Cricetulus griseus: one gene and its partner. The protein of the gene in region 2 binds, or shares a complex with, the protein of the main gene of each other region. Links are inferred from orthologs where the notes say so. Each region holds a gene or a part of one and is shown on either strand. Other genes may lie near its edges.

Region 1 (4,214 bases), on a different chromosome or scaffold from region 2:
GCACTATTACAGAGATTATCATCTATTGAGGAAATACAAACAAGTTGAAATCAACAAAGACAGAGTAATATGAACATTCCTAACCAGGACCCCAAGAAAATAAGTCATCCCAAAAACTGAAAACAGGAGTAGACCAGGCAAAAATGAGTCAGTGAATATGGGAGGAGTGAAGATGGCTCCTGTCCAAAAGACATCATAATGAAGATAGCATAGTATAATCTAATCAAGAAAAGGCAATGTAGGGTACTGGGGAGATAGCTCAGATGGCAAAGCGCTTTACTGTGCAAGCATGAAGACTGAGTTCAGAGCTCCAGCACCCATGTAAAAAAGCCAGGCACACACCTGTAATCACAGCACAGGGAAGGCTGAGACAGGACATACACATATAGACAAGCAGTGCACACACATTCACATTTTTTGAGACACACTCTCAAACAGTATCAGATATATTTCCTCTGTGTGTGTGTGTGTGTGTGTGTGTGTGTGTGTGTGTGTGTGTGTGTAAGAAAAATGGATACGGATAAAGTGAGTTGAGTCAACAGTAGAGTTTAGGGAACCTAACAGATCTCCCAGTTATCTAGTAAGAGATAGATATGCAGGACAACTAAATTGGAAATACAGCAGGGCATATTAGCTCATGCCTATAATCCCAGCACATGAGAGACTGAGGTAAGAGAACTGCCAGTAGTTCAATGCCAGCTTATGTAATGCACATAGTCAAGACCATGTCTAAAGAAACAAAAATTTGGTTGGGCAGTGGTGGCACAAGCCTTTAATCCTAGCACTTAGGAGGCAGAGGTAGGGGATCTCTGAGAGTTGGAAGCCAGCCAAGTCTACAGAGCTAGTTCCAGGACAGCTAGGACAGAGAAACCCTGTCTCGAAAAACCAAAAGGGAAAAGAAAAAAATAAACAAAAATGTATTCAAGTCATCCAGTAAATTCAAGTATGAATAATGGATTAGATCGCCAGGCGTTGGTGGCATATGCCTTTAATCCCAGCACTCGGGAGGCAGAGACAAGCGGATCTCTGTGAGTTCGAGGCCAGCCTAGTCTACAGACTGTGTACCAGAATAGGCTCCAAAGCTACACAGAGAACCCTGTCTTGAAAAAAAAAAAAAAAAAAAAAAAGACTGGATTAGATCACCCAGGGAGAATGTAAACAACAGTAATGAGTAAAAGAAACGGTAACAGTCAAGTGGAAGTGATGTAGCAGAGTAGATGAGTAGTTTTCAAGAGGAAATCGTGAACAATTTTGAATAGCACAGAAATAGGTGAGAGTTGGGTGGGTGAATGATGTTTTATCTGGTTGGTTGGTTTTGGGTCTCCAATTTAAAGATAATCCTCCACATTTGGCCTTCTGTGAGCTACAACAACTGATCTAAGTAAGTCTTGAAGCATCTATCTAATTTATCAAGTAAGAAATCACAGACCACTCAGAAAAAGCTGTTTTAACATAGGAGCATTAGCAAAATCAGATTATAATGGGTCACAGAGGTCCTGAGATGGAAACTAGAAACATTCTTAGGGCTGGTGAAATGGCTCAATGGGTAAAGATGATTGTCACATAGCTGAGGATCTGAGTTCAAACCCAGCATCTATAGGGTATGCTCCATGTGTGCACCCTGATACATACATACAAAATAAATAGATGCTATAAAAGTCTTAAAGTTTCTGCATTTCCTTCAAGTAAGAGTAATTTAAAAGAATATAACGATTTTAATAGAGTTCCATGAGATATGAATACAATTGAGACGTTTAAGAAATTTTAAAAGTTGAAGCTTTTGTTGTGTCTGAGTAGGATGGCCATAAAGTTGGAAGCTGGAACACAGAAGTAAAGAGGGAGCTTTAAAAAAAAAAATACAACATGAGGCCCAGCGGTGGTGGCTCATTTAATTACAGCATTCAGGAGGCAGAAGTAGGAGGATCTCTGACTGAGTTCCAAACCTGTCTCGAAAAACAAAAAAAGAAAACCTGAAGTGTGCCTATGAAAAGTGACTAGGCATGTCCTTGTGAAATGAAATACATACACAGCAAGGACTATGTCATCTCATGGTAAGAGACTACTAAAAGGCCATCTTTTAAGGCATTTACTTTAACTGAAGACAGTGTGAAGGAATGTCAACCCAGAACTCATTCTTTATCCTTAATATTTCCAGGGTATAACAGGACGTGGTCGAAAATTGAGCTACCCGGGACTAGGAATAATGGCTCAAGAGTAGAGTACGTGCAGGACCTGGATCCAATCCTCTGTGACAGTATTAAAAAAAAAAAAAATACCTAGCTATTCAGCAAGTTGACTGGGGTGCAAAGGAAACCAATCAACGTCAAAACACCCGAACGTTAATAAGCACTTGCACACTGTCGTTCCTGGAAGGTGACAGCAGGTTTAACAGGAGGCCACGCAGGGAGCAATCGACCTGACCCGGGAACGTGAATCCTAGGTTTCCCGAGCCTACACAGCCAGCAAGTCCAGCGCGTGAGAACAGGGCTGCGGGGCGCGCGTCCCGGCCGGGATGGGGTTGCTGGCGCAGGTCCTCCATCCCTGCAGGTTCCCCCGCCGTACCGCCTAAGAGGCTACCGCGAGGCGTGTCTCACGTGGTCACCTACCCTCGTCGGCGTCATACATCTTGGCCAAAGGTTTCTGGTCCTCTTAACTCGAATTCACAAAGCTGGAGGCGAAAACTGCAGCGGCAAACTCTGGAGAGTAAGAACAAGCAATTTCCGTCTCCGGCGTTCCCAGAATCCTCGGCGTCTAAGTGGGGCGGGGGAGCGGGGGGGGGGAATCGTGTGAGATCTGCGCCTGCGCAAACGGCCGGCCGAGCCTGGCGGGGGCTTGAACTGCGCAAGTGCAGATTTTGGGTCGCTCGGCTACCGCTGAGGACCGCTCTTTAGGCCGGAAGTTGGACCCGGTTAACGTAGTTTCTTGTTGCGTGTTCTTGTAGAGTTGTTGCACAGATGACGCTTGATTGGCGTAAAGGGGATTTATGAAAGAAAAGCTCTGGGTGTAGGCAGAGCACCCACGATCATCTCCTGCCCACCCAGCTCTAGTGCGCGCCTTTGCACAGCGGGGTGAACTCTCGGGTCTCGGAGCCTTCATCGCGAGAAAGCCAGGGTTAGTCACGCCGTTGGACAGTTCCCTCGCCTCTCGTCCCTGATTTCCGGACACGCGCACGGGTGCGCGCCCGAGGCTCCGCCCACCTCACGGCCGTCCGCATGCTGCCTGGCTTGCAGGCTTGCAGGCTGCTGTGCGGGTTCCTGCGGGGCCCGGCGCCTGCCGCAGCGTGCCATGGCCCTGCCCGGCGGCTCCTGGCGGGGAAGCGCGAAGCCGCTTTCTCCCAGAGCCCATCATCCCTGGGCCGCCGTCTGCCTCCAGGCTCCACGGCGACCGAGGACTATGAAGAAGGCCCCGACACGGAGGAGCGCTTTCTGTTCCCGGAGTACGTCCCGGAGCGGGACCCTGAGGAACTGCTGAGAGAGTTGCGGGAGTTGCATCAGCGGCAGCAGGATGAGGAGCGACAGAGGTTGCAGCGGCGGGAGGAGCGGCTTCAGCGGAAGCTGCGGGCGGGTCTCCGGAGTCTGCAGGTCCCCGAGCTTCCAGAAGCCACGGTGCCACCCAGCGGCATCTACTGCTCGGGCTGCGGGGCCGAGCTGCACTGCCAGCACCCCAGCCTGCCCGGCTACCTGACGGAGGAGAAGTTCCGCGGTGTGACCCAGGCGGACGGCGGACGGGCGCGGACCGTGTGCCAACGCTGCTGGCTCCTGGTGCACCATCGACGTGCCCTGCGCCTGCGGGTGAGTCGAGAGCAGTACCTGGAGCTGGTGAGCGCCGCGCTGCGGCGGCCGGAACCCGCTCTGGTGCTCTATATGGTGGACCTGCTCGACCTGCCGGACGCCCTGCTGCCCGACCTGCCCAAGCTGGTGGGCCCCAAGCAGGTCTTCGTGCTGGGGAACAAAGTGGACCTGCTGCCCCAAGACGCACCCGGCTACTTGCAGCGGCTGCGGAAGCGGCTGTGGGACGACTGCATCCGCGCTGGGCTCGTGATGGCACCTGGCCACCGAGGACCGCAGTACCCCACCGGCGATGACCCTCGGGACGAGAAAAAGAATCCGAATCCGTCGACCAGGTCCAGCACCGTGATCAAGGACGTCCGGTTGATCAGCGCCAAGACCGGCTACGGAGTTGAAGAACTGATCTCTGCACTTCAGCGCTCCTGG
Region 2 (3,500 bases):
CTAACACCAAGTAGCTCTTAATGTTTTATTGTCACTGAAGGGAGGCAGTACTGACGCTTGTTAAGATCATTTGAGGGCTATAGGATATAGAATTGTAGTCTTTGTTGAGGGTATAATTGAAAAAATCAAAGTTGTAGCCAGGTGTGTGGTAGCACACATAATCGCAGCAGTTGGGATTTGGAGGCGGGATCAGATGTTCAATGCCATCCTAGGTTTCATAATGAGTTTGAGCCCAACTGAAACCCTGATTCAAAAAAGAAAAAAAAAGGTGTTGGTGGCGCACGCCTTTAATCCCAGCACTCGGGAGGCAGAGACAGGCAGATCTCTGAGTTCGAGGCCAGCCTGGTCTCCAGAGCGAGTGCCTGAATAGGCTCCAAAGCTACACAGAGAAACCCTGTCTCGAAAAACAAAAAAAAAAAAAAAAAAAAATCTAAAATTGGGCTGGAGAGATGGCTCAGAGGTTAAGAGCAGGCGCTGCTCTTCCAGAGGTCCCGAGTTCAATTCCCAGCAACCACATGGTGGCTCACAACCTTCTGTAATGAGATCTGTTGCCCTCTTCTGGCCTGCAGGCATATATGCAGACAGCATGCTGTATACATAATAAATAAATCAATCTTGAAAAAAAAAATTAAAACAGGAATTTAAAAAAAAAAATTTTTAATGGATCTTTTGTTCTGTGAATGAGAACCCTGCCTAAGTGGGATTACAGAGATATGGTTATTTTCTGAGATTGGCTTTTTTTTTTTTTTTTTTTAAACAAAGCATCTGTTTTGCTAAATGAAATATTTGAATTAATTTGTGATGATCAAATTAAATTCCACAGGACCTGAAGAGCTGATTCATTGTGTACTTTTAGAGAATGTACTGTCTTTGCAGTTATGCCAAATACATATTTCCATCTTATCTTTGGAACACTTAAATAGACTGTTATATAGCCTGATCTTTATATTATTTATTGATTGATTGTCTGTAATTTCTAAATTTGTGCAGAACCAATTAGGGCTTTGCCCTCATTTATTTATTTATTTATTTATTTATTTATTTATCTATCTATCTATCTATCTATTTATTTTTTGGTTTTTCGAGACAGGGTTTCTCTGCAGCTTTGGAGCCTTCATGGAATTCGCTCTGTAGATCAGGCTGGCCTCGAACTCATGGAGATTAGCCTGCCTCTACCTCCCAAGTGCTGAGATTAAAGTTGTGCGCCACCACTGCCAGCCTAGGGCTTTGTCTTCTTTTGGAAGTATATGAGGCTATTCTGTGTATTATATATTATTCATAATTACAGCAGTTCTAATTGTTTTAGCAAATTTTCATTGCTTGTTGAAAATTTGAAGCAAAGCCCTGTGCTTTGGTTTAAGATACAAACAAAATGTTATACCTTTGTGTCTGCCTCTGCCTCCCAAGTGCTGGGATTAAAGGTGTGCGCCACCAACGCCTGGCTTTCTAATACTGTTTACTACACTTTCTTGACTGTTATCATGTGAGAAAAAGTAATTAAGGCAATCTTTAAGTCTTTTAATTTTGTGTGGCTATTTTACCTGCTTGTTTGTGCATCACATGCTTGTAGTTCCTTGGGAGTCTAGAAGAGGCCACCACATTCCCTAGAACCGGAGTTAGAGCTGGCTGTCAGCCACCATGTGGGTGCTGGGAATGGAACCTCCGTTCTCTGGGAGAGCATCTAGTGCTTGTAACTGCTGAGTTACTTCGATAGTCTCTTAATCAAATTTTACAACCTGTTGTTAAAGCTTTATTGGTAATAAGCTAAAGAAGGGGCTGGAGAGTGGCTTAGCGGTTAATAGCACTGCCTGTTCTTCCAGAGGACCTGGGTTCAATTCTCAGCACCCACCTGACAGCTCACAACTGTCTGTAACTCCAGTTCTAGGGGATCCAACACCTTCACACAGACATACATGCAGGTAAAACACCAATGCATGTAAAAAAAAAAAAAAAAAGCTAATGAAGATAATAAATATGGGAAAACATTTGGACATAGAGGGAAATTGGGAACTATAGTGGTTGTAGTTTATCATGTATAGTTGATAGCCCTTAGTAAAATAGTTAGTCTTCTAATTTGGTAAATATTTTGGTTCTTTGGCTTGAAAGCAACATAAACTCATTTCCTTGTGTATTAATTGCTGCTGAAATAGCAACTTGGTCTATATTCTTTTTTTTTTTTTTTTTTTTTTTTTTGCCTTAGGTCAGCTTCTTCAGGTGGTCCGAGCAGCCAATGGTGCCCAATATATCTTTCAACCTCAGCAGTCAGTTGTTCTACAACAACAAGTTATACCACAGATGCAGCCTGGTGGAGTACAGGCTCCTGTTATCCAGCAGGTAAAGAATTGTTACCATCCCCTGGGATCCAGCTGCTGCTCTTGCTGCTGCTGCTGCTGCTGCTGCTATAACTGTATGAATTTATCATGTGGTTCCCTACCCTTTTCCCCCTCAAGTTTACATACACAATAGTCAAAACAATCTTATTCTCAATTGTTGTTATTACTATTATTATAATTATAATCATCATTATCATTATTAGGCCTCCAAGCAAGTTACATCTCTCATGTTTAAAACTGAATTATTATTTGTTTCTGGCTTCTTGATCCCTCTTACTAGTTCCTAATAGGTGGTTTTGTTTGCCCTAGGTCTTGGCCCCACTTCCTGGAGGGATTTCACCACAGACAGGTGTCATCATCCAGCCACAGCAAATCTTATTTACAGGAAATAAGACTCAGGTCATCCCTACTACAGTGGCAGCACCCACACCAGCACAAGCGCAGATACCTGCCGCTGGCCAGCAGCAGCCACAGGCCCAGCCTGCTCAACAGCAAGCCCCATTGGTGCTGCAAGTTGATGGAACAGGGGATACGTCATCTGAGGAAGATGAAGATGAGGAAGAAGACTATGATGATGATGAGGAGGAAGATAAAGAGAAAGATGGAGCTGAAGATGGGCAGGTAGAAGAAGTAAGTTTCTAGTAAAAAGAGACTTGAAAAGAGAAGCCCCTCATCATTTATTGTTGTATTTAGGGCTAAACAGACAAATTAATATGCTATTTCTTCAGAGAGGTGGATGCTTGGACTCAGCTAGCTTTCTCTCCCCCAAACTCAGGGAGTATATCACCCACTCTGAGTATGGTTCTTCTACCTCAGTAACCACACCATCACAGTCCATCATAGGCATCCTCAGGAACTAGATTATCCATCCCTCATACATGGCCTAGAGGGCTGTCTCCTAGGCTGTTATAGGTCCTGTTAGGTTGATATTAACAGCAACTACCACAGGCTCCCTTTTTTTAAAAGGTATGTATATCAAATGGAAATTATATTAATAGGGATAGTACAGATCAAATTTCTTGTTATTATTCATAATGTGGTGGCTTAACCATAAGATAGTGGTAGAGCAGATGAATAGGATTGATCTTGTGTTTTAGTGATTAAAAAGGCATGGCATTGTTTGGGGAGAGAGGAAAGTGGAGAATAACTGAATGTGACAGCTCAAGC

The links. The genes of interacting proteins can lie anywhere in the genome.
Region 1: Gtf2a1 (region 2) and Polr2b share a complex: the UniProt entries of both Homo sapiens proteins name them as parts of the TBP-based Pol II pre-initiation complex. The link is inferred for Cricetulus griseus from reciprocal best matches to the Homo sapiens genes GTF2A1 and POLR2B.

Annotation. Positions count from the first base shown.
Region 1 is NW_023276807.1:143,692,824-143,697,037, reverse strand, and holds the start of Polr2b (DNA-directed RNA polymerase II subunit RPB2), read right to left. Parts: upstream 2,801-4,214; 5' UTR 2,626-2,800; coding exon 2,607-2,625; intron 1-2,606. Other genes in the region: Noa1 (nitric oxide-associated protein 1), read left to right, coding at 3,213-4,214. UniProt on the Homo sapiens protein: Catalytic core component of RNA polymerase II (Pol II), a DNA-dependent RNA polymerase which synthesizes mRNA precursors and many functional non-coding RNAs using the four ribonucleoside triphosphates as substrates.
Region 2 is NC_048598.1:113,330,465-113,333,964, forward strand, and holds part of Gtf2a1 (transcription initiation factor IIA subunit 1), read left to right. Parts: intron 1-2,200; coding exon 2,201-2,334; intron 2,335-2,642; coding exon 2,643-2,963; intron 2,964-3,500. UniProt on the Homo sapiens protein: TFIIA is a component of the transcription machinery of RNA polymerase II and plays an important role in transcriptional activation. TFIIA in a complex with TBP mediates transcriptional activity.